Linked DNA regions of Tamandua tetradactyla. The protein of the gene in region 1 purifies or fractionates together with the protein of each later gene. This does not show direct contact. Links are inferred from orthologs where the notes say so. Each region holds a gene or a part of one and is shown in the gene's direction. Other genes may lie near its edges.

Region 1 (7,954 bases):
CGAGGCTCTGACTTGGCAGGAGGCAGCCAAGAAGACAGGACAGGATGCAGCTGGCAGGGCCCCTCTTTCCAGCATATCAAGTAGCTGGCCAGGAGACAATCCATGCAAAAAGACCACCTACCCAGATAAACTTGAATTCCAGGTAAATAGCAAACAATTTTGGAGTAAAACTTTGTTTCAAACATTGCAAGGGATATACAACATTATTTGTCACCTGTTGAAACTCCAGTTTAAATGCACTTTTTGTATTTTGATTTGTTAAGTCTGGAAATCCAAAAAAGGAGCCTATAATTCCCACCGCCTGTCTGGAATGAGTGCAGGTGAGTCCAGAGCCCCAAAGCTTTCCACTTGCCCTGGGCAGGTGGAGTGGTGGGCAAGGTGGAGGTCCTACCAGGGGTGCTGTGGGGGTCCCACAGGTGACTCCAGAGCCCCTGGAGGTGGGACAGTCCTGCAGGCCATCAACGCAGATGCCTGCCCTATGCAAGGAACTGAGTGTCTTCAAAATGCTGGGAACGGCTCCAAGGAACAGAACCGCCAGCAGGTTTCTGGGCCAAACTGCCACTTTGGGTCCCCATAGCAGATGGGGACACCCCTGAAGATTTGATACATCCACTGAGGGCCGCAGCAGCTGGCCTGGGCCCCTGCTCCTGCGACCCCACGCAGCCCAACCTCTGATTTCTTTGAGAAGAGAAATGTCCACTTGGAATGGAACAGAAGGGCCACAGTAGGACAGGGAGACCAACCCCTCCCCTGGCCACCATGCTTGCCCATGACAGGGCAGGGATGGTCATGGTTAGGGTCAGAGACTCTGGCCCCTCAGCCTGGGAAGGAGCCCGGGAGCTGCCCTCGATGTCCCAACACCCAGAGCTGCCATGGCCCCGGCTCTCCAACATCAGCGCAGCCACGGGGGGCCGTGGGCCAGATGGGGGCTGGGAGCCCCGACCCCTCAGCACGCTCTGCTCTCGGGCGCTCCCACACCTCCTTGTGCCTGGAGGAACCCCCTCCTTGTTGCTTTTCTTGTCACCAGTCACTTATCCTCACATTATAAGATGATGTCCAAACCTCGCAGGGCCACACGGGGCAGAGCGGAAGCAGGAGGATGGGGAACAGGGGGTGGGGGGTGAGGGCCTGGGAAGGTGACCTTAAGGACAGGGGTGGGGGATGGGGGAGGGGGCTGCTCATGCCGAAGGGGGAGCCTCAGAGAGGCAGCCTGGGAGAAAGGATGAGAAAGAATAAAAGATTGTGGGTCAAGAAAAATGTGCTTTGTATAAAAAAGAAACTTTGAAATGAGATATAAACATAACAATTAAACCTTTCTTTCATTTGAGAACCCCCAGAATGGAAGGCAAGAGAGAGACTGGGTTGAGGAGGCAGCTGGGGAAGGCATGGGAGCCCCTTTCGTGTGTAGTGGATTTTGAACCACACCGACGCATCATCTGTCCGCCATGGAGCCATGGTAAAGCACAGGAGTGGAGGGAGGTGGAGGGGAACACCCGGGAGGCTGACCCAGGGGGTCAGGGCAGAGGCAAGGAGCCCAGGCCCAGCCCAGTCACCACCTCCAGCCACACCAGGGCTCCCCCATGACAGCTGAATGCCCTGGGCCACTTATGCCCCCTCTCTGGGCCACATCTGCCTCATTGCAGATTGCCAGCAGATGGGGACGCTGAGGCTTAGGCGGTCACTGGGCTTACTGGGCAGGTGGGGCTGACCCAGAGGCGGCCTCAGCCAAGAGGCAGTACTCAGCACCACCCACTCTAGCCCCGGGCAGCCAAACCCCCATCCACACACCAGAGGAGAATGCACTGTTGCTGGGCCCATTTCAGAGGGAAACTGAGGCCTGGAGTCTGGGAGGTAGGTTCTTATGGAAATTTAAAAACCAGGCGCATTTTCCCACATCTCCCTGTGGCCCCCAAGCTGCTGAGCTGGCCCGATGCGCCCCGTGCCCCACAAAACCAAAGGCAGAAGTCAGGAGAGCCCCAGGGCGGGGGGCTGCTTCCTGTGGGCCTGTGAGAGTGAGCCCAGGACCTCTGGGAAGACGCGGGGGCAGTGGAGTGGGGCCGAGCCGGCTCGCCAAGAACCCTCTGCGGCAGAAACCGAGAGCCACGGAGCGCCCCGAGAAGCGAGGCCAGAGGCGGCGAGGCCAGCAGCACACGGGGCACGGAGCTCCTGGGGGGCGGCCTCAGTTGGAAGGCGGGGCTGAGAGCAGGAGCGGAGGCCGGAGGCGGGTCAGCTTGGCGCGGGAGGGGCGACAGCTGCCAAGAGGTCCAGGGCAGGAGGGGCGGGGCGGGGCGAGGAGAGGGGGCGGGGAGAGGGCGGGGCCGCTAGGGCTTCCTCAGGCTTGAAGACCGGCCGGAGGCCCCGCCCCCGACCGCCCTGCCCAGGTCCGCCCCGGGTTCACCCTCGCCCCGACCCTTCTCCAGTTCACTCCCCCCACCCCCCGTACCCATCCGCATCCTCCATCCTTGCCTCCGACCCCATGCAAACTCATCCCCCACTTTCAGGCCCCCAGTTCAACCAGGCCCCGCCCCACTCCCAACGCACCCCCCCCGTCCCCGCCCATACCCCGCCCCCTGCCCACCCAGACCCCACTGGGCCTGGCCTCCCCCCCAGTGCACCAGGCCCCGCCCCCGGCCCTGCTCGCAGATCGCCCGGCGGGTCCCCACCGGTCCAAGCTCCAAGCTTCGACCTCATCCAGACCCCGCCCCGCCGTGGTTTCTTTTCCGGACTCGCGGTTGACTCCCACCCAGAGTTCCAGACTGCGTTGCCCGGGGTTGATCGGTCAACACCGGCGGGGGGCAGCTGTCGAGTGCAGCAGGGTCCGGGCGCCCCTTCCCTCCGGTGCACAGGTGGTCGTGGGCCCCTTGGTCCAGCTCCGGCCCAGCAGGATGGTGCTAGCCCAGCGACAAGTAAAGCCTGTTGGAACCTCCCCTCCCCACTGGAATTGTCCTTTTTTTTCCTTAACAGTTTTATTAAGATACAATTCACATATCATACAATTCACCTGTTCAAAGTGCACACTTCAAATATTTTTAATATTGTCATAGATACGTGCATTTAACACCACAAGCAACTTTAGAACATTTTAATCACCTGAAAAGAAACTCCGTGCTCATTAGCAGTCACTTCCCATTTCTCCCAAGCTCCCCAGCCCCTCCCGCCGAGGTAACCTCTAATCTGCCTTCTGTCCTATGGATTCTCCTATTCTGTAAATTTGAGATAAATGGAATCATACAAAATGTAACCTTTTGTGATGGTGTCTTTTGCTTCTTTCAGTATGCAATCTTCGAAATCTATCAATGTAATGTCATGTATCAGAACTTCTTTTCTTTACATGGCTGAATAATTTTTTGTTGGATAGATAGAACACATTCTGATTATCCATTTTGTCAATGTCCACGTGGGTGGTTTGTTCCTCTCAGCTATTGTGAATTATGCTGCTGTGATTTTTTGAGTGGACATTTGCTTTCAGGGGACTTGCTGGGTCATGTGGCAACTCTGTGTTCAACATTCTGAGAAAGGGCCTATTTTCCACAGCAGCTGCACCATTTTACCTTCTTACTAGCAATGCACGAGAGTTTCTACTTCTCCGCATCCTCACCAACACTTGTGATTGTCTCTTTTTTACTGTAGCCATCCTGATGGGTGCAGGTTGTATCTCATGGTGGTTCTGCTTTGCTTTTCCCTAATGGCTAATGATATTCAGCGTCTTTTCATGCTTTTTTGGCCATTGGTAGATCTTTAGAGAAATGTCTCTTCAAGTCCTTTGCCCATTCTTTAATTGGGTTATTTGTCTTTATATTTTTAGCTTCAAAAGTTCTTTATATAAGCAGGAGAGTAAGCCAACTCTTCACTTTGTAGTATTTCAGGTATGTGAGGTCAGCTATCAAATTCTCCACTCCACCTGCTCTCGGGGCTGAGCCTTCCCAGCTCCTTCAGCTGTTCTGAGATAGTTTCCAGACCTCTGACTGGGTGGTCTGTGGCCATCCTCTTCTGTTGGCCACGTCCCTTTTAAAATAAGATGCCCAGTATGGAGTCCCACACTGTGTCCTAAGTGTCTTCTAAATAGCATGAGACAATTTTCTGGATCTGGACAGTGCATTTCTATTCAGTATTAACGTGGCACTGATCTTTTTAGCAACTGCATCAAACTGACGACTCAGAATTGCTGATAATGCCTTCTTCAAGTAACATTTCTTGAATTCCTGTGATGTCTCAAGATGTATGCTAGGTGCGGGGAATATAAAAATAAGACATACTTCCTGCCCTCAATGAACTTACAGTGAGCATGAGTTTCCAATCAAACACTTCCCAGTCAGTTCAGTCTCCCGTATTCTATACTTTTTGCATCTAAATGCTCACCTTCATTGTTTAAGAGAAAGCTATAAAGATCAAAGGAGAAGGTGGAGTTGTAACAGTTAATAGGATTTAACAAATGAGCACGATTGCTGAATCATTACACTGATATTTCTCTTAGTTTCCAGTGTCTCGGAGCAGCTAGAAGTAAAAGCCTAAAATTGTGGAATTGTAATCCACATCAAATTCTGAAATTTGTTCTACAAGTAATTGTGTTGTGCTTTGAAATTTATTGCTTTTTTATGTTATTATTCACAATAAAAAAATTTTAAAGAAAAAACAAAACAAAACAAAAAAAAGTTCTTTATATAGTGTGGATACTAGACCTTGCAAATATTTTCTTCCGTTCTATCCCGAGGAACCCCCACTACCCTAGGGCCAGAGCAGGGCGGCTGGAAACGGTGGCCCATCCACAGCCGCTGGACAGCACTACGCGGCGCGATGCGGCCGCCAGGGGGCGCCATGAACGCGTGCCGGAGCCCGGGCCATTAACTGCGCCTGCGCTGGAGCGCGATCCCCAGCGCGCGCCTGCCCGAGCGCGCGCCTGCGCCTGCGCCTGCGCGGGCCCGTGGCCGCGCCTCCTCGCGCGGGGCTGGTGGCCAGCCGCGGCCATGGGGGAAGCGGAGGTGGGCGGCGGCGGCGCCGCGGGCGACAAGGGGCCGGGGGAGGCGGCAACGAGCCCCGCGGAGGAGACGGTGGTGTGGAGTCCCGAGGTGGAAGTGTGCCTTTTCCACGCCATGCTGGGCCACAAGCCCGTCGGTGAGCGCGCCTGAGGCCGCGCACTCGCGTGGGGGCGGGGCGGTTCCGTAACCGTCGGGGTGGGGGCGGGGCATGGGGCCAACCCTCCCCGCCGACTTTGCCCACCGCCCCCTCCTCGCAGGTGTGAACCGGCACTTCCACATGATCTGCATCCGGGACAAGTTCAGCCAGAACATCGGGCGGCAGGTCCCTTCCAAGGTCATCTGGGACCACCTGAGCACCATGTATGACATGCAGGCGCTGGTGAGGCCCCAGGGGCCCGCCCCGGGGGAGGCCGGCAGTCCCATCTTTTCTGCCCCGCCGGGTCCCGCGGCCCTGCCGGGGATATAGCTTCCGCCTGGGAGGGACGGGGCCGCTGCACAGCGTAGCGCCAGGGAGGGGGCCTGCGCTTGTGAAAAAGCCAAGCCCTCGTGGCTGGGAAATGGGGGATTGCTTGTCTGAGAGCTGGGGCTGAGCCTGAGGCCTGGGGGAGGGCGTCCCAGCAGCATCAGGGGAGCCTGCCAGCACATTCCCGGGTGTTTGGGTCCTACTCAGCCACGGGAGGTCCCAGGGAAGACGTGGGCAAGAAGGAGGCAGGGTCCCATCTGGTAAAGGTGGTCACAGGAGCTTCTGGGGAACCAGGTGGGCAGGGTTCCTGCCCTCACAGAGTTGCCTGCTGGAAGGGATGGGGAGGATTAGTGGGTCAGGATGCTAATGAAGAACAGCATGTGGCCAGCGACCTGGGGGTGCAAGGGGGATGGGGGCCAGGAGGGGTAGGAAGACCTGCGCCCTCCAGGCAGAACCTGGGGCCATAGCCGCCTCCTGACTGGGACATCTTCAAGGCTTCTGCCTGGGGTCTGTTGTACCCCCTTTCCCGGCCTTCCCTAGCTGTACATGGGAGCTGAGCACAGTCACACAGGGAGGCAGGGGGCCCGTGGCAAGCACCCTGAGACCTGTGCTGCTGTCCCTGTGAGCAGTCCATGATGAGGCTATTCTGAGCCTGGGCAGAGCCAGACCCCAAGTGATGGGCCGGTCGGCCAGGTGCATGGTCTGCTGGGGTCTGGAGTGGGTACAGGACCCGACCTAGCCCTGAGGTCTGGTTCTGCCCTCTGGCGGAGGTGTCCCCTCTCCCCACTGTGAGTCAGGACAGTGGGCACCCTCTGCACCAGCCCCTGTCATAGTGAGGCACTCGTGGCAGGGGGGCATTTGTCCAGGCCAACTGGATCCAACCGAGCCCCAACTCCAGCCCTGTATTAGGCTGGAGGCCAGGGTGCAGAGATGTAGGTGCGGCACTGACTCCCCGTCGTTGGGATGCTCCTGCCACAGTGACATGGATCTGAGGCTGCCAGGCCCACCAGTATGAGGGACAGACTTCTGGCTTGGTGGGGCCTCACACTGAGAAGTCTAGTCTCTGGGGCACTCAGAAAGCTGTCAATGCCCGCTCCATGGCTACTTCCTGTTCCTGGGGCAGCTTATTACATTCAGGGGCTGGGCAAGACTTTGGGTCATCACTTTTTTAGGCCATGGCACCCCAATATGACTGATTCCAGAATCACTCAAGATCATATAAAACGCGGAGCCCTGGCCAGCCCCCACCACCACCAAAGGGAGACAGATTTCAGGGGGACTGCTGAGTGGAGACCCTGTATCCTGCCTCCACCTCCCCACCAGTCAGGGATGCTTTCCCTTCTATCCAGCCATCCTGGTACTTGTGACTAGAGCCCAGTAGGTGTCCCCGGCTGACCCTGACCCACTTGCTCGGTTGTCCACCCTGGTTCCCGGTGGGCATGGGCGGAAGCTGGAGGGCCTCCGGCCTGGACCCTCAACTGCCCTGTGTGTGCTGCAGGTTTTGCCCAGCTTGTGCTCTCAGAATATACACTCGTGCTGAGGCTCATCTCATGTGGGCTGGGCCCATGCCCTCCCCTGAGCCACCCTGGGGGTGTTTGTGGGCGGGTGGGCTTCAGCCTGCCCTCTCAGTTGTCACAGACCCGAGTCTCCCCTCTGAGGACTGCTGAGGCTTTCATGTCATTCTTGCCTTCTGTGGGTCTGTCTGCCCAGCCCAGGCCATCGTAGGCTGTGATGGTGGGAAGAACAGGGCCCTCAGCTCTGTACCCCAGGCCGTCCTCCTCCCTTACCCCTGTGCCCCTCACCCCTGTGCCTCAGCCCACCCTCCTCCCTTACCCCTACACCCCAGCCACCATTATCCCTCACCCTTGTGCCCCAACCCACCCTCTTCCCTCAGTCCTGCGCCCCAGCCCTCCCTCTTCCCTCACCCCTACACCCTTCACCTCTGTATCCCACACCCACCCCTGCACCTCAACCCACTCTCCTCCCTCACCCCTGCACCTCATCCCTTCCTCAGCCTTGCACCACATTTATTTAAGATGATTGAGCATCATCACTGCTCCTGAGTTTTTAATCATTGGCTGAAATCACATTTTTTCTTTGTTTTTTAATAAAATAAAACATCGCATTTGACATCAGCATGAGTCTGAGATTCTTCCATTCCCAAATCCAGAGAGGAACTTCGTCCTTCCTGAAGAGATCATTCAAGAGGTCCGAGAAGGTAAGAGTCGGCGAGCTCGGGTCTGGGATTAGAAAAGGCAGGTGCGGGTGGGCCACGGTGGCTCAGCAGGCAAGAATGCTTGCCTGCCATGCCAGAGGACCCGGGTTTGATCCCCGGTGCCTGATGCCTGCCCATGTAAAAAAAAAAAAAAAAAACTCCAGATCCCTCTTGGGGAGCAAATGTTAAAATACAGTTTGAAATGCTAGTGGTAAATGAAAGCGAGGGGTAAGGGGTATGGTATGTATAGTCTTTTTTTTCTCTATTATCATTTTATTTCTTTTTCTAAATCGATGCAAA
Region 2 (7,309 bases), on another chromosome or scaffold:
ACTATCTTTCAAAAATGAGGGCAAGATTAAGACATTACCAGATAAACAAAAGCTGAGGGAATGTGGCACTACTAGATCAACCCTAAAAAAAGATGCTAGAGAGGTCTGTTGGTTTAAAGGAAAGGATGGCAGACAACAGATTAAAACCACATGAAGGGGCGGGCCACAGTGGCTCAGCAGGCAGAGTTCTCGCCTGCCACACACACACACACACACACACACACAAACACAAAAACACATGAAGAAATAAAGACCTCCAGTAAGAGTAATGACATGGGCAAATATAAACGCCAGTATTATTGTATTTTTAGTTTGTAATTCTGCTTCTTACTTCTTATAGGATCTAAAAGGTAAATACATAAAATGCAACAATGAATCAGAGGTTTTGGACTTAGAATGCAATTTGTGACAAGAATTACATAAAGGTCAAAAGCTAGAGGGGCATATTTGTGTATACTAATGAAGTCAAGTTGTATCAAGGCAAACAAGATTATTATAGATTTAGGATATTAAATTTAAATCCTACAGTAAATATAAAGAAAATTCTGGAGAATATGTGAACTAATAGAGACAGAAATTAGAGTACAGGCTATCAAGGACATGAGCCAGGGGGAATGGGGAATTATTGCATAATGAATATAGGGTATCTGTTTGGGGAGATGGGAAAATTTTAGTAATGGAAGGTGGTGAGAATAACAGTATTTTTTAATGTGATTAATTCCATTAATTAGTGATATAGGAGTGGGTGAGAAGGGAATATTTATGTTGCAGATATGTTTCCACAATTAAAAAAAAAAACCAAAACAGAAATTTCAGAATGTGGAACATTCTACAAGAAAACTGGCCTGAATATTTTAAAAAATCAATGTCAGAGGCAAAAATTAAGGCTGGCTTAGGTTAAAAGAGATTTTAGAAACATAAAATATAACACAGGAACCTTATGACAACTGGAGATATGTGTAAGATTTGATAATGATATCTTGGATAAGAAGGGAAATGCCCTTGACCTTTGGCAATGCATACTGAAGAACTTAAGAATGAAGTATTCTGTTTTCTGCACCTTATTTTCACTTCAAATAAATCAGGAAATCATATACACACACATTCATACACACACCCCTCACATACATAAAGCAAATGTGTGCAAAAATGCTAAAATATCATCCAATCCAGGTAGAAAGTATTAAAGGTGTTCAATTTTGAAATTTTTCATATTATAAAGTTGTGGGAAAGAGATGGTTTACTACATACAAATAATTAAACAAGTACACAGTATCATCACTGGTTATATTTGAGTGGTGAGATCACAAAAAACTTCTTCCAAATTTCCTTCACGCTTGTTGTATCCTCGCTCTCCCAATTTTAAATTTAATCATTTCTTCCAATAACAATACTTTTAACTGTTTCAAAACAGAAACTGACTACTCAAAAACCTACAGAAAACAAAGATTTGCAACTCCAAATAAACTACTGGTTATAAAATTATATCTTGGTGAATCACATGAAAAAAGACACTTACTCTTCTTTAAGTCTCTTTTGTAACTGTTCTTTTGAAAGTCTACTTTCACTGGCATTTTTCATCATATCTTTCCGAAAACGATTGTTCATCATGTCAACCCTATAAAAAACAAGAACAGCATGCTTTAAATGTTTAAAGATTCAACACAAATAGTTGTTGCCTTTACCACTTAGATAAAACTAATTTCACAATATATATCAAGATGTATAAGATGCAGAACATATCATATGCATATTCTCCATTCTTCTTCAAACAAAAAAGAATCTCCAGTATTTCAGATCATGAGAGAGTTTATTCATGAGAGAGCTAATATCTCAAATTCAAAATCAATTATCCTGGCACAGTTTATACCATCAACCAAATTAAATTCCAGGTAATCAAGTTATATGTACAAAAAACAAATCTTAAACTGTTAAAATCTGTTTTAACAGTAAATTAGTAAAAATAGTATTAAAAAAAGATTCACAGATCAATATAAAAATTTAAATATGGAGTTTCAAAAGACATTACAAAACAAAATTAAAAGGCCAACAGGAAATTAGGAAAAAAATTTGCAATAAATTCGACACAAAAGTTTTAAAATTCACAATATGTAGGGTTCTTTTACATTAAAATAATTAAGAAAGTCTCCAATAAATAAATAAGAGATACTAAAGAACTCTTATAAAAGAAAATACCAACGACTAATAGCAAAGATGGTTTTTCAACACAAACTAGAGATTATTTCCCACCCATCAAACTGACAAAATCTGAAAAACGATAACATTATCTATGCAACAGGAGTGATGAAATGGATACCTTTTGATGGGAAAATAACTGATAGAACCTTATCATATGTAGTCTGGCCATATTTATCCAAAGCTCTAAAAGTGCTCATGCTTTCTGATCAAGGGATTCCACCTCAGAGAATCTTTTTTAAGGAAATAATCAGGAAAGTAGACAGAAATTCATGCACAAAGATGCATTAATTTATTAAAGGGAAAAATAAAAACAATCGGTCCAATAATAGCTATGTAAATTAGGATTAATTCGTACTATTGGTTATAATACAGCCCTTAAAAATGTTTATAAGGTTTTTTTTAAAAAAAAGAAAAGAAAAATAGGGAGCAAATACTTGAAATAGAGTGATAATTAGAAAAAGACAACATGCTAAACTAAATATACGGTACATTTTCATCAACAAAAGCACATATCACATGTGCTAGCTAACCTTTTAGCCTACACAGTTCCAGGCACTGTGCCAAGAGTTCTATTTGCACCATTTCATTTAATCCCTACACCCTTCTGATAGTTATTATCATCATCATTTTACAAATGAGAAAAGGTAGGTTCCAAACTTGCTGAAGGACAGTTAAGAAATGGTCAAATTCTGAAGGAGTTTAAAGTTTAAAGTAAGGGTCATGAAACAAGAAGTCTAATAATTTGAGTATGGTAGTCCAAATCACAGAAAAAAGAAACACTTCTACTCTTTGGGAGAAAGGGATAATTTTATAGCAGCTAAAGGAACCCAAGAAAGTTCAGAAGAATAAACAGAACACAAACTTCCTCATCAGCATAGAACATGCAAAAGTGATATCCTCCAATTCCACATAACTAAAGAAACTGTGTATGATCTGGAGATGAAAATATAACTTTAAAAAAACTTTCTGGGATTCCTCAGTTTGGCTTGGCAAGGCAAAGAGGTCCTAGCAGAAATAGAGTTGAGGAGCCCAGCAAAGTTCTACTGAGGAATTTCAGCCAGTGGAGTTAATAGTGAAAGTACAACTTGCAATGTGATTTCGAACATCTCTTAGGGCATGAGAAGGCAGCAGTTTGAACAAGCAAGTCAGGTAAGTGCATGATTCTATTTCACAAGGCAGAGTTTCCATAGGCAGTAATTACTGCTACTCTCTTGTTCTAGAAAAACAATAGTAGGTCACTTCACAGTATATCAATTAAAGCCCCACTTGTTTCAAAGCAAGTCCAATTTTGCTGAAGTTGTAACTCAGAAATTAAAAATTAACAAATGATTATGATTACTGAATCATTCTATAGATGTTTTTTCTTTCTATATTGTAGACTAACCTAATGTCAATACCTGAAATTACTGAAACTCTTAGCCCAGTGTATACTTCCTATTACAGTGGTCATTCTACCCTAGCCTCAGCTCTGTTTACACATGTTATTTTAATGGTAACAACACCATCTCCCTTGTTTGAATCCATAAAAAACCCAAACTCCTTAAATTCAGGGAGACAGATTTTGAGCCTACAGGCCATGTGATCTGCTTCCCGCTTAGCAATAAACTCTCTCTTTGAAATTCCAAAAGAAAAAAAAAAGGCCAAATTAGGAAGAAACTTAGGTCTGAGTTCTTCAAACACACTGCTCTCATTGTTATTCTCTACAACGAAGGAAAAAAAGAGAGGGAGAGAAGTATGCCAAAATGTTAACAGTGGTTCTCAGCTTTTCTTTTCCATAATTTCCTACACTTTTCAAATTTTCAATCACATTTTCATAAGAATGTTTAAAACCTGCAAAAGAACTTTTCAAGTGTCAAGAAGAATTCTGGAGAAAAAGTTAAGCAACTCACATTTCCTCATCTTCATCTTCCTCATCCACCCAAACTGGCTTCTTTTGAGGTGGAAAAGTATCCTTTGAGTCATTCTCCACTTCTGAATCATCAGAGTCTTCATGCACATGAATCTAGAAAATACAAAATGTCCTCACAATGAGTTTTTCACACATCTTGTAGTCAGGTGGTTTGAAGAATGCAGTCCTCTGATGAAATAATGGGATGGAATGCCACCAGCATGCTACAGAGCAGAAAATGAAAAGACCAGTAAATGGCACTGCAGCCTGGACAGACAAGGAAAGATGGAACTTAGAGAAAATTAACATGCTAAAAGAAAAAGACCAAGTAAGACAACAACAAAAGGTAAGACAGACGAGGAAAGGCACAGGAAAAATTCCAGAACTACAGAAAATGACAAATCTAGAGTCAAAAATAACATAATTGTCATATTTCTTATCTCATACTCTTAGAACTATTCCTTCACTTCTCTTAACTCTTTTTGAGCTTTACTCAAGAAACCACTATGAAATCTAAACGAAGATCACAGAATATCTCTTGGAATAAGCTCAGCCTTCCTGAAACTGCATGGTAGAAATGCCCAAGGGATTTCTAGTTACTCTATTTACAGATATACGCAAAGCCCAACAAATCCCATCTCCTACAAGAAGTCTCGACAAGTCCACTTCAGGTATATTTATTCCTTTTCTTCACTGACTATCGAAGTGTCATACAGTCTGTTTTAAGATTAGACATCAGCAATTTCTCCCATAGCACCCAAAGGCTTTGGAAATCAGATCGAACTTGACCCTTGTTAGGTCCGCATTAATTTAGCAAATAAATTGCGTAATTCTCGGTGAAGCTTTTCGGGGCGACCCTTTCTAAACTCTCACTGGCCTCCTCCATACCACTAATCACCCTTCCCAGAAAGCTTTTTTTTTTTTTTTTAACAATCTCTCCAGCCCTTGTTACTAACATATTTGAGCTCTTCTTATTTTATTGTCCGTCTCTGCCTTTGGTTTATAAGCTCCAAGAAAATTTTATCAATGTCATTCATTATGTGAACAATGCCTGGAACTCCCAAACTTGGGAGGAAAGCCATATAATAAAAGGAATGTTTAAAAAGTGTAAAAACGTATAGGCAATTACGAAGGGTTTGCCATTGCCAGAAGAGTATCTGGCACTCAACAAGCTGGCAAATGTGTTGAATCAACGATTACACAATGGTTAGAAAAGCTGGTATACAAGAGACTGTTAAAATACATTTTCCCAGGCCCGCGCCCAGGAATTCTGATTCCACAAATAAAATGGAACTCCGCAACCTACATCAACAAACACGGTAGACGACTGAGGAAAGTGATCAAGCATCCACGCTGGAAAGGACAGCTAAGCTGAGCCGCGATAAGATGCTCAGAACTAACTACAAGTTGAGCACCTGCTGCATACCAGGCTCAGTGGCTCCCCTGGAGGCGGAGAGAGGTGCGGTCTCCGCCCTCCGAAGACTTCGTCGGGCTCCAAGAGGCGGGGGACGCACAGCGGCACCCCCTCGGCGCCCACGTTCTCAGGCTCCCTCCCACCTGAGCGCTCCTCGCCGCCTCAGGTCACCCAGACTCCGCCCCCGGAGTCTAGCAATTCGCGCGCCCCGCCCGAGCGCACCCAGCCCGCGCGCCGAGGCCTCCCTTACCCGCGGGCCCCGCAGGCGCCGCAGTAGCGCGTGCTCGTCGTCCTCGACATCGCCGAAAACCAACTCCTCCAAGCACCGCTCCACCGCGGGTTTGTCCTCCTCCAGCGCCAGACGGTTCTGCTGCCGGAGCCGCCTCTCCTCCTCCGCCGTGACTGCGATCGCAGCGGTCGCCGCGCTTAGCCGGGCAGCGGATTTCCGCTGGGATGAAAGGGCAGGTTTTCGAGCTGGGCCGGCCGGCCTCGCTCCGCTTCTTCGGTCCGGCTTCATTCGAGTCCTTGAAGCTGGCATCCCTCCGGTTCTGCGCTTGGGTTTCATTCGGTTCCCTCGCTGCGGCGGCATCTTTAGGTTTGAGAAGAAACGTAGGGGCTCACGTGGAACCTTACAGCGCATGTGCCCAGATGCCTCACTTTCCACCGCCACTAGAGAGGCGGGAGGGGCCGGAAGGAGCCTGTGCAGCCTCTTAGCACGTGACCCAACACTCGGTCCCTACTTAACGCCCACTCTTCTAGGGAGCCCCTCCCCACGTGGGAGTTCCTCCGGGAGAGCCAATCTTCTGGGTGAAGGGGGAAGCGGCGTGACAGGGATGGAAAATTTTTCCATGTCAGCTTCGCAGTTGCAACATAGTCAAAGGAGTACAAAAAGCCAAAGTATAAACCAAGGTGATGGAATGAAATTTCTACTCTTCTGCTTTTTAACCCGTCGACTTAATCCACGTCCTGATTACCTTCTCCACCCCTGCGTCTTGGTACGACCCATAGAGTACGGAGCCTGTAGAGGGTCCCACGCTGGAAGAGAGAGAGAGGAGGGTATGTAGGGAAGTGGGCCAATCGGGGCGCAGGTCACGGCGCAAGCGCGCTGGGGAGGGAGGGCTATGCTAATGTTGTTGATATCCTGGGGCCACCCTAGTTAAAGGGGGGAAATCCGGGGGCTGCCACAGCCGCCGCCAGTCTGGGCCCAGCCGTGGGCCCCTTGTAGTCGCCACCGTCCCGCGGAGAGGCGCCTACCCCCGGCTCGGGGAGGGGGCGCCGCGGGTCCGGGGAGCACGGACATCCCCTACCCATGAGGCCCTGATGGAAAACACAAAGGATCTGGTGAGAACTGAGCGCGGCAGCCGCTTTGTGTGCAAAGTGTGTGCAAGGTGGGGGGACGCCTACAGCTCCCCGACCTCAGGGACTCCTACAGCTCCCTGGCCCCACTCCCAGGCCTGTCTCTTTATCCCACGCCCCCTCTACCTCTGGAGTCCCCCTCCCCCTACCGGCCGTTAAACGATTCAGGGTCTCCCCTCCCCCCATTCCCCTAGCCCCGGCCTCCCTGGGGTTCTCCTTACCCCTCTTCCACGCTCTGGAAAAAACATTGAGAAGAAAGTTTTTCTCTGCGTCTTGAGCCCCCTGCCCCCGCTCTGGAAGAGGAGTGGGGTGGGTAGCTGGATCTGGGACTCTTCTCTTTTTTAGCTTCTCAGAGTGGGAGACTGGAAGTCCACTTGGCTTCCGAGGGGACATAGTGTTGGTGCTTGGCGGGGAAAGGCGCCTACCCGCTTTGGGGCCAGTGCCGCAAGGCA
Region 3 (7,474 bases), on another chromosome or scaffold:
ACTTACTCGCTGATCTTGGGGACTATATCCCCTTCCCCCTGAAGGTGTAGGATCCGGATTGAGAAGATGCTGTGACTAAAAGTTAAGGGAAAAAAATGTCATTGTATACCTTCCATGACTGGGCAGAGGACTTGTGTTTACTGGAATACAGTAAAGGTTGACTTTTACCTGCGACTGGAGTTCTGGTTCAGGTGGGTGCTGGCAAAGCTCTGGTTCTTACGACCCACTTTCAGGAGTTTCCACGCCTCCTCAGCATCCTGAACATGAATCCAATTGAGGTCTTTAGGCCAAAGGAGAGAAGGGCATAAGATGGGTACACTCAATCAACTCTTTTCCTAGTTTCTCCCCCAAACCCCCTCCAGTGTTCATGACATTTCCTACGTCTTCCCATACCTTTCACATAGGGATTGCCATTCTGATCTTCGCACAGCCGCAGAGTCTGCCTCTTGCGCTGCTGGCTAGGTGGTTCTAACAGGTCATAGATCATCTCATTGTAGATTTCAAAGAAGGAGATCCAGATGGAGAAGCGAATGTGTGCTGGGACACTTACTGGGGCTGTGTCTGGTTGTGCCCATCGGTCACTTGTTTCTGGGGAAGGAGCAATGTACAGGGCATTAATTCTAGAGCAGTCCATCTCCCTTTTGGCCTGCAGGGGCCTTGGAAGGCAGAACTCAGGTTGTAACCTATGGTCTGAACCCTGGCAACTGTTGGGGCAGAGACTAAGTTTCTACTGTTACTTGGCAAAGAGACCAATTATGGTACATACCATCTAGCTGGCTACTGCTGGTAAACTGACTGGTAGAGGAGAGCCCAGCAATGCCACTGTCAAAGCTGGTGCTGGTACCCATCTGCAGACTTTCAATATAAACGCTTCGCTTCAGGGAAGTGGACAGCTCCTCCTGGAGGGGCCCAGAGAAGAGATAAGTCCAAAATTTTCCAAAGATATGTACCCTCACCCTTGCCTCCATGAACACTAACACCTCACCTCTTGTAAGCCTCCATTTAGCAGGGCCAGCTTCTTCATTTCTTCCTGCCTGATCTGCTTGCTATCTAGCCATATTACTTCATTGGAAAGCAAGGGTTTCAGATCAGGTATTGGATGAAATTGTCCTTGGAGGCTATTGAAGATCAGAGCCAGGGACCGGGGCAGGATCCCACCATCCTTGATGGTACCTGGAAGTATATGAGAGATGGACAACTGAGGCAGCTACCTTTCTCCCCCCAACTCAGAACATTAAAAGGCAAAGATAACATCCTCATAGGCCAGCTAGCAACCCTTTTAGGCTTTTCTACTTACCTTGAATTGTGTGGGTTTTCCCTGAGTTGGTGACTCCATATGTGTAGATGAGCCAGTTCTGCCCTTTGAGTACATCCTTTACCATCTCCTTCACAGTTAGGTTGAAGAAGGATGCCTGTCCCACTTCTGGTCCAAAGATCTAGAGACAAAGCCAATTTGTCAGTGGTATGTCCACCCTTCATCACCCATTCTCCCCCTGTGCAGATTTATTCCTCCATTCTTGGGTGATTGGCTCTGGAGACAACTTCAAACAGCCTCTTCCTACAGTGCTACAAGCTTGCCCCTAAATACTAACGATCCAACCACTTCTCTGCTAGTCCATCCTTCATCCAAATCAACAAATTCTTCTGGAATGCTACACACTCAATGAGGCAGAATAATGGTTCACAATGAACTTTAGGGATGGATGGCTCTGGATCCAAGTCCTACTGTACCATATATGTTACTTCATTGAGCCACAGTATCCTTGCGGGGAAAATAGGATTAACAACAATAATAATCACAACAATAGAGTCGTGAATTAATGCACATAAAGTACTTCAGACAGTACTAGCACATAACAGTACCCCTCCCCAAACTGTAGATGTGTACATGTGTGTATTTATATGCGTGTATATATATAGGTACATATACAAACTCATGCATGGCTATATACACATGAACATACAGAGAGTCACACACACAACTTAAGATCTCACAGTCAAGTAAAGAAGTGTTCTTTCTAGAGAGGAAATGAAATTGTCCCTAGATGCTGGTTCTTTGTTCACAGCCCAGAACCTTCATACCTGGGAAAAGGTGAACCTGTGGGTGGCTTGGCCAATTCCTCGCTCATTGCTTTTCAAGGCAAAAGAGTCCTTAGGTGCTTGTAGAACAAGAGTCTCTCCATTCTCAATGCGGACACAGCTCTGTGGGTGGGGAAAACAGTTGTCACAAAAGGAAGCATTCCTGGGAACTACTTCTATATTACATCATTCCATCTTGAGTCCTTCCTCCTCAGATACTCACCTGATCTTCCTGTCGTTCCAATTCTGAAGGTAACAAGGGCCTGATCCTCAGGTATACTTTCACTTTCTCGGTACTATCCTCAGATGGAACCTGTGGCAGAATTTCAACCCAAAAAAACAGATTAATCATCTGAGCAGATAGGCAAACATAGCACCGTTCTTAGGAATCATGCTAGTGATTCTACCCCCTTCTACCCCAAATGTCTCTGCAGGTACTCTTTGCTTTCACAATCATCCCAACTCATATGGACTTTTTCACTACTCTGTCACTCTTCCCTATCTCATCAGTATCCTGCCACTGTTCATTGCCATACTGATTATCTCAGAATTAGTTGACTGGTATGAAAGTCAGAATGTGATATTAGGGCAAAGCACAGTAGTTAAGCACTATAAAGGCAGACACACCTGAATTTGAGTCCTAATCCCATCATTTAATAACTATGAGACCTTAAACAGATTCTTTAAATTCTCTCTGCCTCAGTTTTTTTCATCTGTAGAATGAGGTTAATAATAGCACCCACCTCATTCATTCTACAGATATTTAGTGCCTATCATGGCTCAGGAATTTAAGAGGCTCTAGTAGTTCATAGTGAGGGTTATCATCAAAGCTCCTGCCCTTTATGAGAAAGAAGACTTTTGAAGACAAGATGTGACAATGTAGATTCAGTGTTTAACATAGGGCCTGTCTAGTACAGTGGTTCTCTAGCAGGGCAAACGTTCCCCCTACCCCTCCCCAAGCTCCCAGGGACATTTAGCAATGTCTGACTTTTTTGGGTCACCAGTTGGTTAGTACTACTGGCATCCAGGGGGTTGAGGCCTGGAAAGCTGCTAAACATCTTATAATTTCCGAGACAGTCCCCCACAATAAAGAATTATCCAGCCCCCGATGTCAATAATGCTGCAGCTGAGAAATCATGGCCTAACAAAAAGAAAGTCTCAATAATCGTAATGATGGTTGATATTATTAAAACCTGAGTGTACATTTCACCTACTTAATGGCAGTATGACCTTTTGCAAATTATTTAACAGGACTGGGAGGGACATGATGGTATTTTATTAATGCAATGCTAATACTAATTCTTCTTATTGAAACCCAACTCTACATTTTTGACTGGTCATTACCCTTCACTTTGAACCGATCTCTCAGAATCTCAGTTTTGCTTGCCTTTGACCTAACACCCTGTATAGACAACTAGTAGGGTGGAGATATCACTTTCTTACCCCAAGCCACGCCCCAACTCTGTTACCTGTTGCTTGTTCTCCAGGGAAGTGGAGATGACAGAGCAGTCTGACAGTAGGTCTTTGCGTATCACAGACCCTAAATCTGCAGCTGTAGACTCAAACATAGGGGAAACTGCGAGTTCCTCATCCGACAATAAGCCGGCTGGTGGAGAAAGGATCCCTTGTGACATGTCGGCAGGGACAGCTTTGGTCTGAAAAGAGACAAGAGTGGGTAGGGAGGAAAACTTTAAGGACAGAAGGGGTTGCAAATTCTAGGTAAGAAGCAATCCCCTTACCCTTGGAAACCTGGTTTGCCTGCCTGAATTCCTATTCCCTTTTCCCTCCAAATACGGGGAAGGGGTTGAGAGGAGGAGTTAATCTTTGAAACCTTTCTGGAGAGGCATTTCCGACCTTGAATAGGAAAGAAAAGAGATACACCTCCAAAACTAGAAGGCCAGTAGGGTACCTCGCCTTTCCGTACTATGGGGCACGGGCAGAGTCAAAGGTCAGGATCCCCAGGCTCCTTTTCCAACCTCTTCCCAAGTCCACCACGAGGGCAAAGGTATTAAGAAAAAAAGAGATGGTGGCGGTGCCCCCTTCTGAAAGCCCGTTCTGCGAAATCAAGAGCTGATAACCCGGGCTCCAGTCGAGCTGCACACTTACCTGAAGCCGCGACACTCGTTCCCGCTCCGGAACCGACTCACTCATTCAGCTGCGGATCCTGGACCTTAGCGGTCCGCAGCACAACTCCGCCCACGAGGCGCAGCTTTGTTACTGATACATTGTTTTAAATTACGCGCTCCGTTCACTCGGCCAATCAGACAAAAGAGCCTGCAGCTACCAATCAGCGCAAAGAAGGGAGGCGGGCGAAATAGGGGACTTCTGCTTCTATTTGACCTCTCCACTCTCACGTGGGTCCGGGTTACCAACTGTCGGAAATTTGGAATCGAGTCACTTCGGATTCGTCCGGCTTAACCCTTTAGCGTAACCCCTAGACATTTCATTTCCTAAGAAGCCTGAGGCTTCAGTTGCCATCCCCTGTCCTTCCTTAGCAACGCTACTTTAACTTGCGTACTCCGTTGGGGGAGGTGGGGGGGGGTCGGAAAAACAAACAAACAAACAAACCTACATTTCCCAGGAGTCATCGCGAACAAACTCCCGTACTCGATTTCCCAGAGTTCTCCGGGATCCGGTCCTACCTGACTCACACTCTTCCGGGATAGTAGACTTCGGGGCCAAGATGGCGGCAGGAACGGGCAGTGAGTGTCTGCGCTACTTTTGAGCGGAAGGCCATTGTAGAGCCGAGGCTAGGCACCAGATTTCAGTCTAACATTTAGGGAGTGGTTGGGGTGGTTTGGCTGAGAGCCCAGGGTGTCCAGAGACCTGCGCTTGACGGCGTAGTAAAGGCCAACGGTTGGGGGCCCGAAGTATAGGGTCCTGTGTCTCAGGGAGGGAGCGGAGGCGTAAGGGAAGTATTTAGCGAATCCCTGTATGTAGGGAGCTCCGCGGAGGAAGGCATAAAGGCGCTCTAGAAACTTGGGCGTGCAGACGCAGATTCGGCCATCATACGGAGGGGCTGGTGTCTCAAACATCAGTTCAGTTTCTAGCGAATGTGTTTGTGAGGCAGTGGAAATGGGGTCTTTTAATCGTGAGCTTTTTCTGCCACCGGGAAAATTGAGTTTCGTACATCTCAATTATTTTCCTTATGTTTAATAGGTAGAGAAGGCCTTTTAGGCCCGACAGTTGGGGGCGGGGTAATGAGACTAGTAAACAGTTTTATGCTAAGAAGGAGGCGGGGCAGCAGGCGGAGCTAGCCGCTCGGAATCCTGGGAAATAAACCTGTATTTTTAAATTAGAGAAAGTATTCTTAAAATTGGGGCTTTCGAGAAAACTTTTTCGGCTTAATACGTCATTTCCTATCTTTTATTAAAGCGGAGCTTGAAGCCTTGGGTTTTGAGGAAATCAAATGTTCTCCCATATACCACACACCGTGCAATTCTCATGCAAAGAATAAGTACCCCCCACCCGCACCCCGCACCGTGATACACAGCTATTTCGCTTTAACGGCGAAAATCCAGATTTGGTGCTATAAGAGCCTACTTTGTGCTAACAAGTTGGGTGTTTTGTATTAGGCTTTTAGTTCTCTGGTGCTTAAAACTCGTGTCTCTGGTTATCTGTATACTCTTTCTCTACTTTCAGAACACAAACTGTTGAGTTCTGGCCCCACAGAGCCATGGTCCATCCGGGAAAAGCTGTGTTTGGCATCTTCTGTAATGAGAAGTGGAGATCAGAATTGGTACGTTATCCATGATGTCTGTCTTGGGTCTTAGAACTGCTGGGTATTTTTTCCTGCTGTTGGATATAGTTAATGAATTATATTTAATTAATCTATATATTAATCTTTAAGCATCTTTTTTTTTAAACAGAGTTATTGAGATGTAAATCACCATAAATAATACAACTCATTGGTTTTAAGTATATTCATAGAGTTGTGCAACCATCACCATAATCTAATCTTGGAATATTTTCATTACCCCAGAGAGAAGCACTTAACAGTCAAGCTACATAACTTCCTCCACCCCACTCCCATCCCTAGGCAACAGCTAGTCTACTTTCCGTCTCTCTTGATCTGCCTGTTCTGGACATGTTGGTTTTCTGTGACTGGCTTATTTCACATAGGATAATGTTTTCAAATTTCATTTATAATATAGCATGTATCAGTACTTCATTCCTTTATGTGGCTGAAAAGTATATTCCATGTATAGATAGCCACATTTTGTATGCTCATAAGTTGGTAGAAATTTGGATTGTTCCCACCTTTTAGCTATTATGAATGATGTTGCCATCAATCTTTCTTGTTTTTGTGTGAACTTGTGCTTTAAATTCTTTTGGGTATATTAGGAGTGAAATTCCTGGGTCATATGGTAACTCTGTATTTAAGTTTGAAAGAACTGCCAAACTGTTTTCCAAAGCAACCACAGTTTTACATTCCCACTAGCATGAATGAGTATTCCACTTTTACCACATCTTCACCAAGACTTATTTTTGTCCTTTTGTTTTTAACTATCCTAGTGGGTGTGAAATGGTATCTCATTTGGTTTCGATTTGCATTTCCCTGATGATTAATGGTATTGAGCATTTTTTCATTTGCTTAGTGGCCATTTGTACATCTTCTTTGGAGAAATACCTATTCCGATCCTCTGCCCTTTTTTGGGGGGTGTGGGGGTGTGCAAGGTCTGGGAATCGAACCTGGGTCCCCTGAATGGAAGGCAAGCATTTTACTACTTAAGCACTTGTGTACTCTGCTTTGCCCATTTCTTAGTTATTTATCTTTTTATTTTTGAGTTGTAAGAGTTCTTTATATATTTCAGATACAAATCTCTTATCACATAGATGATTTGCAAATGTACCAGCAATGAATGAATATTCTGATTTCACCATATCCTCCCCTTCTTACTCTAGAGTAGTCTCCATTAAGTTTGATATGTCCTTTCATAAATTTTTCTATGTGTGGTTTGTGGACATGTTTAAATTTTTTTTTGAATAAGAATAGGAACATCATATATACATAGTTTTTAGCTTGATATTTCATTTAAGACAGTATGTGGGTATTTTTCTGTCAATACACTAGATATGATCTTATTCTTTTTAAAAACTCAGTAGTATTCCATTGGATATACCATAATTTGTTTTACATTTGTCTTCTACGGGCATTTAGGGGTACAGTTTTCTCTTTGTATCAGTATTTCTATAGGATAAGTTCCTAGAAGTGACATCGCTAGATCTGAGATATGCACATTTTCAATTTTAAGAATCTTGTAAGATACTAGACTTCTCAAAATTTTTCTGTTTAAAATAAATTGTATTTATTTCCTTGTGTGTTTTCTCATTTTATGAAAGGTACGTATAACTGCTAGTCAGATAGTTATTTCAATAGATGAGAAAACCAGTA
Region 4 (7,257 bases), on another chromosome or scaffold:
CGCACCATTCCGCCGGCACAGGGGGAGAGCCCCCCCCTCCGCAACTTTAGCCGGTTTCCGAAGGAGGCTGCTTTCCACCTTCACAAGGGACTAGGCTCAAGCCAGCTGCCGCGACCCACGTTCAGGCCCACCAATCCCAAAGGGATAAGAGGCGGGGGGATAAATCCGGCGGAGAGACCGCCCCCTCCCCCTCTTCCTCAGCCACAGCGGGTTAATCGCCCAACCCTACCGCTCGGCTCCCGGTGTCAAGGGAAATCCGAGCACTGCGCATGCGCCTGTTTGATCTCAGCGTTCCAGCCCTCTCGGTGCGGAGGGGTGGGCGGCCCTGAGGGGAGCCGAGCCAATCGCGAGGCTGTTACCGATCACGTGAGGCGGGTTCCTCGTGCCCTAACGAATCCTCGGGTGGAAGCCAGGCGCGCCTCGGTCGGCTCACCTCTCTTACGGAGGCTTGGCGAGTCGGTCTAGGAACCTTCTTTGCCGGCTCTGGACTGCGTTCTCCGAACTTCGGCAAGAGTGTGGGGGACCACTTCTCGAAGAGCTCTGGAGAGCAGCGCTGGTGCCGAGTCAGAGACGTTAAACAGTTGCATATCGTAAAACAATACGTGTCACCAAGGATCCATCTTGACTCTTTTCCGGCGTTACCGCCTTGTTTACTATTTAGTTTAAGGTGCGTGCTTATCTTAGTTCCGAATGGCGTTCTGTGCACATCTACGTTTGGTTTGCTTCCAACACGATGCTGGCCACAGTGACAGCGTTCAGTAAATATGTAAATATGTAATAAATGAAGTATGGACACTTGGGGGAAAAAAGCCACAGAAAGCAGTTAGACCATGGTACAATCTTCCCGCGATTCAAGGCTTTAGTCTCCAACTCTCGAGTCTCTGAGTTCCAAAGGACTTTAGACATAGAGAAATTCCCCCATTCTCATGGTCTAGTCTTCGCACTAAGTCTACTCAGTTTTAACAAAGTGCCCTCGAGGTTCGGTACAGTCTCTGAACAGATTGTAAACTGCTAGAGAGCAGGGACTGTGTTTGGGTCACTCATACCTCCAATTCCTCGCTGTGACTACATTGTTGGGGCTCAAAAGTTATTTGTAGAATGAAGAAATGAAGAGGTATGGAAAATATCCAGGTTTTACAGCCCTCAAGATGGCCTAGTTATCCTCCATCCTGATGTCTTCTGAGTTGTTGAAAGGGAACCTAGAACCTAAAAGTCCATAAAATATCCCCAACATACTTACATCGGCCTTCTACCCCTCCTCCCACCAAGATCCAAGATAATTGTTTTCTTGCTGCCACCTGCTGGATTATTTTTCCTTCTTTGGGTCGAAAAGCTTCAAATGATTAGACTGCCACCCCTAATTCTACAGTAGTGAAATTGTGAAGTACTGAATTATATTATGATTGGCTATAGCAATACCCACCCCCAAAGAAACACCATAGGGAATAGCAGGGTGGGGGCACACTGCCTAGCAAAGGATTTGATTCGTGGTAGGTGTTCAATAAATACCTGTTGAGTAAATTATCCTTGTTTCCATCTAAAGCATGAGATTGTTAGCATTTCCTGAATTACTTCTTTAGCAATCATTTGATGTAGATGTAAAGCTGTTTCTGATTAACAATTGGTAAAAGACCAATAAAGCCCTAACTGACAGAGGCAGTAGGTCAAACAGAGGGCTTTTCTCCCTGGAATCTAATCTATCACTTTGATAAAAGAGTGAATTCGTGCTCGCTTCGGCAGCACATATACTAAAATTAGAACGATACAGAGAAGATTAGTATGGCCCCTGCGCAAGGATGACATGCAAATTCGTGAAGCGTTCCATATTTTAAAAAAAAAAAAGTAAATTCTATTTCATCCCTCTTGGAAGAAGAAATCCCTCTTTTGTAGCTCCTTAGGAGTCTTTGTTTCTCCTTTATGTACCAGAAAATGTTTACTATTATACTTACCACCTTGTATTGTTTTTGTCTCCCTCACAAGACTGTGACCACTTCAGGGTAAAGATTACATCTTACCCATTTTCACTTCTCAAGCATCTAGAATGGTGTTTGGCAGAGAGTAATTGTCCAATATCTGTGCTCTGAATATATGAATGAATGAAGGCAAAATTCAAGAAATGGGGCTAGGGGTGTTTAAGAAGCAGGTATCACCCATCTTTCCCCCCTAAACCTTGTCTCTGTGCTCACTCCCACTCCATTCCTGGGGTACTCTCTGAGTCATGGAGCCATTCATCCCCAGTAACATTCCTGACATAGCAGAACTGGAGTGACGTGGCAGGGTGTGGAAGCAGGGGCAGTGCAGGACAAGTTGGCTTGGTGCTCCCAAGGAAGTGGAGAAGGGAGTTCACCAATACATACTTTGGGAAGGGAGGGGGCATTCTGGTGACCTCAAAGAAGGGTTCAGGGAGACATGAACATACAGACGGGCACCTGCACATGCATGTGCACACATACGCCCACAGGACTTTAGAAAAACTTCCTTTAGTGACTTAGAACAGTTCCCAAGGTCAGAATGAAGGGGCAAGAGGCTGGCAAGAGCAAATGAGAAGCAAGAATAAGAAGATGGATGCCATAACCATTCAACTTGTCATTTATTAATTCATTCAAGGAACATTATTTAGCCCCAACTATATCCCAGGCACTGTAGAGAGTTCCTAATATACAAAATCCCTGCCCTCAAAAAGATCACGAATAATGAGGGAGACAGACACATAAATCATTACGATAATGTGTAGAGGTGTTACCATAGAGTATGTATAAGTGCTATGGTTTGACAACCATATTTTCAGAATAAAAAAGTGGGAACAAAAGTAGACACGGACCCCTGTCTACATGGGACATGACTCCCAGGGGTGTGGACCTTCCTGGCAACGTGGAACAGAAATCCTAGAATGAACTAAGACTCAGCATCAAGGGATTGAGAAAAACCCTAGAATGAGCTGAGACTCAGCATCAAGGGATTGAGAAAACCTTCTCGACCAAAACAGGGAAGAGTGAAATGGGACAAAGTGTCAATGGCTGAGAGATTCCAAACAGAGTCGAGAGGTTATCCTGGACGTTATTCTTACGCATTAAGTAGATATCACCTTTTAGTCAAGATGTAGTGGAGAGGCTGGAGGGAACTGCCTGAAAATGTACAGCTGTGTTCCAGTAGCTGTGTTTCTTGATGATGACTATATAATGATATAGCTTTCACAATGTGACTGTGTGATTGTGAAAATCTTGTGTCTGATGCTCCTTTTATCTACTTTGTCAACAGACGAGTAGAACATATGGATAAAAATAAATAATAGGGGGGAAGAAAAAAAGTAGACACAGAGTCTTGACGATACCACAGATGATATGAAATTAGAAGATACTCCAGAAAATCTAGAAGGCATGATCCCCTTGGTTACAGGATCTGTACCTCAAAAGTCAGGGATGAGTGTGAGGGAAGACTTCACTGCATTCAGAATAAGTATTTAGACGAGAAAGGCAAGGGATTCAAAGGCGAAGGAAGCACATGGGGGCATACCAGAGAATTGGGTCTTAGGGGAGTGATGCTGGAATAGGATGAATGTAGTGATGTGGCAGGAGGTGAGTCTAGAAAGGCAGGGGAAAGCTAAATTATGAAGGTAGTTTTGACCTACAAATATCTACTACATGCTTACTAAACACTGTGCTAAGACATTTGCAAGAATTATCTCTTAATCTTCATAACAGCACAGACTCCACAGGTAGGTATTACAAGTATGTCTCATCTGTAAGATGAGAAAACAAAGGCAGAGAGGTAAAGCAACTTGCCAAAGGTCACAGAACTAGATGAACTTAGATAAAATTCGAACTCAGGTCCGTCCGGCTCTAACGCTGTGCCCTTGACCACGGTTACTGCTCTGGCTCGAGTTAGCACCTTATTTCATGAGGGTGGGGAGTTATTAAAAGGTTTCTGAGCAAAAGAGTGACAGAGTCCAGTCTGGGTTTTTAGAAAAGTTCCTACTGGTAGCAGAGTGGAAAACGAATAGGAGCAAAGGGAAACGGACCTCTTCTAAAAGAAAATTGGTTGATTTCCAAATTCAGGACTTACGGTAGTAGGTGGGGCGTCAGCGTCTCCAAGTGGAATTTTTCCGTCACTCGAGTTGGCGGACTAGAGCAGGGGGCGTGGTTTCCGCCCGGGGTGGGCGGGGCTGAAGAGTAAAGCTCGGCCTAGGGGGCGGGGCTAAGAGCTCCTCGATGCTCTACTGCTTCTGACTGTACACGTTCCGCTTCTGCCGCCCACGGCCATCCGCAGGTAGTGGTGTCGAGCGCCGAGTCCCGAGTCGAGCTAGGTGACGGGATGCTGGTGGGGGCGCAGCCTCGGTGGGTAGTATGAGTTTGGCTGGGGGCCGAGCACCCCGGAAGACAGCGGGGAACCGGCTTTCTGGGCTCCTGGAGGCAGAGGAGGAAGATGAGTTCTACCAGACGACTTATGGGGGTTTCACAGAGGCAAGAGCCGGGCCCAGGAAGAGGGAGGGGAGGAAGCGAAAAGTGGAATCCTGAAGGGACAAACCCCGGACAAAGAAGTGGGGAGCGGGTAACAGAGAGAAGCCCTGGAAGCTGATACTCAAGAAGGGGGTGGGGGGGTAGTCCAAAAGGGAGAGTCCTGGACGGGGTTGGTGGGCTGAGGAATGGAGAGGCTCTCGGTGGGAGACCCTAACATGTGGCAGAAACCAAGCGTCTACTTCTCTAGTTGCATGTCTCACCCCATTTCTGACGTCCAGCACACGCAAGGCACATCTGGTCGCTCGATATATATTCCTTGGTTAACTGCTTGGTTATTCACCTGAGATGTAGAAAGGACCCTTCCGCAAAAGTAAAGGGGCTTAGCCCACTCCTTTTTCAGTTTAAAAGTCTCAATATCTCCTTAAATAACCTTTCCTTAACTGTTGTAAAAGTATCTCCATTTGTTTCCTTCATAGAACATGTTTCAATTTGTAATTAAATTTGGTTTGCTTACATGTTAATGCTTTCCTATTAGATTGTAAACTCCGTGATGGCCCGTGTTCAACAGTAAAAGACCAGTGGGACTAGTCCGGTGTCTGGACTGGACTGGCATTCGTTAAATTTTATTGACCGAATCTATCTGTTCATTATGTGCTGAGCACCCAGAGCATACAAAGCATTATGATAAGCTCTAGGGGAACAGAAAGTATTAAAAACACCGCTCTATTCTTACATATTCCAAATCCCAGTGGGGGAACTAGTCAGGTTAACAGCTAACGTATTCTAAAAATTGTATGATAAGCACTAAAATAAGAGACAGGCATAGAGGGCTATGGTATCATGGAAGCCAGAGTTGTTTGGGATTGAGATCCCCGGGGGTGTGATGTTTAAGCTGAGAATAGTTTGAAAAGTAAGCTTTGGCTAGATGAAGAGAAGTAGGGCTGGGAATAAGGCAAAGGAAACAGTCTCCAGAAGGCATGGAGTAGAATATGTAAAGGCGCTGAGATCCTGGTCTGGCCTGGAATCTGCAAGTCATCCTCCAGAGCATGAAGGAGAATGAAGATTGGTGAGGCTGGAGGGAGGAGGCTGGGCTAGATGGTGTAGGGCCTTGAGAACCGTGTTCAGGAGTTTTACTCTTCAGAGGACTGAGGAGATTCATCAGAATAGCATGATCAAATTTCTGTTTTAAACAGATCAGTCTTTAAGGAGGAGAATGGTTCAAAGGTGGCAAAACTAGAGGCAGGGAAACTAGATTAGGTAGAATCCAGGAAAGATAGAGGTGATGGTGGCCTGAGCTGAATTTGTGGCAGAGAAAGTAGGGAAACATGGACTAGATGATACAAAGAAATTAAAGAACTATAACCCACAGTACTTGATGACTGACTGGGAATCGTTACTTACATAACCCTAACCAACTAGGTTAAAATAGAAATGTCTCATCCCTCCTACAAGGCCAAGTCCCCTCTCCCCATTTTCCTATTTTTGTCATTTTACGAGTTATTTAATATGTACCAGTTGTACTTCCAAAAATAGTTTAAGGAGGCTTACACTATACACAAAAAGTAGGAACAGTAAAAATAGAGACAGATGAGAAGTAATTGTACCAGGAGCCTATGCTAAAATGGTAATAGCAATTGATAGTAAATTTAGCTGTGAGTTTCCTGGCAGCCAAATCCTGAATTTATTTATTTATTTTTGTAAGAAAGAAGCATGTAAGTTTGTCAAGAGTGACAAACTTATTCAGTATTAAATCTTAAAAGGAATTTATCATAGCATCCTTCTATAAGATGTATAAAGTAACAGGGTTTTGTAAGTGATGTAAAAAAATTCCCTTGTCTAATCATGACTATTAAGGACCCTCAAATAAAAGCCAAAGAAATGGTGGTAAACCCATAATTTAGTGAAAGCATTTCATTGAGCATTAAGCTAATGTGCAGTTGAACTACTACCCTGTAGTGATATGACTTAATACCAGATTAGAACTCAGGGGATTAATATGTTCCCAGGCTGTCTTTCACAAACATCACGTGGGAAGAAATGATAGTCATCAGTGCAAGATGGAATTTTGACTGGCTTGGAGTGTAAAGCATCTTGTTTGCTTGTTTTGGCTGCAAGTGTACCAAGGTTAGCCCATTAGTCTGCATCATAGATTGAAAAGAGAGCCACATGTTTGAGGTGCTACCCAGCCCAGTAGATTCTTCCTCCCCAAAGTGCTTTTTCTTCTTTTGCATTGTGGCTGCTATTTTAGCCCTAAACGGCATCGCCTAAGTCTAGGCTGTACCTCGTGCTCGCTGCTCCAGCCCATCTAACCACCTCCAGACTTTCTGAAACACCTTTTATACACAGTTTTCCCCTCCTCCAAATCTTCAGTGACTCTCTGTTCCCCATTGTAGGAGTACCCAACTCTTTTACTGCCCCAACACATCTAAGGAATGAGACATACTTCTCTCAGTAACTTTACTAAATCAATACTAATTTACTCATCATCAGTGTTGGGACAAGTAAGGGGATGGAGGGAACTGAGAATCACTGGCCTGCAGGTTAAAAATCATAGGTTTATTAGACTGACTACTAAGCCTTGCCATAGACTGAATGCAGTCTCCTTTTCAAATCTTTCATATCTGGAAGGTAATCAGTTAATGTTGAAGGAGACTATGGAGCCAAAGGCAATCAGCCAGGAAGACTTCTTACCAGAAACACTCTGCTTTGCTTAGGTTGAAATCCTTATTCCATAAACATTCTATATTCATTCCTGCTTTGGCACCTTTGTTTCTGCTGTTCTGTCTACCCATGATTTCCT

Evidence for each region.
Region 2: the proteins of MRGBP (region 1) and MBTD1 purify together in Homo sapiens (affinity purification with mass spectrometry; 4 studies listed by BioGRID and IntAct, counting the BioPlex papers as one, with this or other methods). This does not show direct contact. The link is inferred for Tamandua tetradactyla from reciprocal best matches to the Homo sapiens genes MRGBP and MBTD1.
Region 3: the proteins of MRGBP (region 1) and BRD8 purify together in Homo sapiens (affinity purification with mass spectrometry; 10 studies listed by BioGRID and IntAct, counting the BioPlex papers as one, with this or other methods). This does not show direct contact. The link is inferred for Tamandua tetradactyla from reciprocal best matches to the Homo sapiens genes MRGBP and BRD8.
Region 4: the proteins of MRGBP (region 1) and VPS72 purify together in Homo sapiens (co-immunoprecipitation; 5 studies listed by BioGRID and IntAct, counting the BioPlex papers as one, with this or other methods). This does not show direct contact. The link is inferred for Tamandua tetradactyla from reciprocal best matches to the Homo sapiens genes MRGBP and VPS72.

The regions. Positions count from the first base shown.
Region 1 is NC_135327.1:60,344,885-60,352,838, forward strand, and holds the start of MRGBP (MRG/MORF4L-binding protein), read left to right. Parts: upstream 1-4,936; 5' UTR 4,937-4,964; coding exon 4,965-5,112; intron 5,113-5,233; coding exon 5,234-5,355; intron 5,356-7,575; coding exon 7,576-7,657; intron 7,658-7,954.
Region 2 is NC_135332.1:32,355,636-32,362,944, reverse strand, and holds the start of MBTD1 (MBT domain-containing protein 1), read left to right. Parts: upstream 1-4,299; 5' UTR 4,300-4,325; coding exon 4,326-4,433; intron 4,434-5,751; coding exon of another isoform or gene 5,752-6,141; exon of another isoform or gene 6,142-6,557; intron 6,558-6,583; exon of another isoform or gene 6,584-6,821; coding exon of another isoform or gene 6,822-6,842; intron 6,843-7,037; exon of another isoform or gene 7,038-7,290; intron 7,291-7,309. Other genes in the region: UTP18 (U3 small nucleolar RNA-associated protein 18 homolog), read right to left, coding at 1,520-1,618, 4,089-4,201, 5,752-6,141. UniProt on the Homo sapiens protein: Chromatin reader component of the NuA4 histone acetyltransferase complex, a multiprotein complex involved in transcriptional activation of select genes principally by acetylation of nucleosomal histones H4 and H2A.
Region 3 is NC_135346.1:17,856,241-17,863,714, reverse strand, and holds the start of BRD8 (bromodomain-containing protein 8), read left to right. Parts: upstream 1-4,463; 5' UTR 4,464-4,762; coding exon 4,763-4,781; intron 4,782-5,721; coding exon 5,722-5,818; intron 5,819-7,474. Other genes in the region: kinesin-like protein KIF20A, read right to left, coding at 7-75, 169-280, 394-588, 767-899, 986-1,173, 1,298-1,436, 2,083-2,202, 2,303-2,392 and 2 more. UniProt on the Homo sapiens protein: May act as a coactivator during transcriptional activation by hormone-activated nuclear receptors (NR). Isoform 2 stimulates transcriptional activation by AR/DHTR, ESR1/NR3A1, RXRA/NR2B1 and THRB/ERBA2.
Region 4 is NC_135330.1:4,371,191-4,378,447, forward strand, and holds the start of VPS72 (vacuolar protein sorting-associated protein 72 homolog), read left to right. Parts: upstream 1-4,249; 5' UTR 4,250-4,343; coding exon 4,344-4,460; intron 4,461-7,257. UniProt on the Homo sapiens protein: Deposition-and-exchange histone chaperone specific for H2AZ1, specifically chaperones H2AZ1 and deposits it into nucleosomes.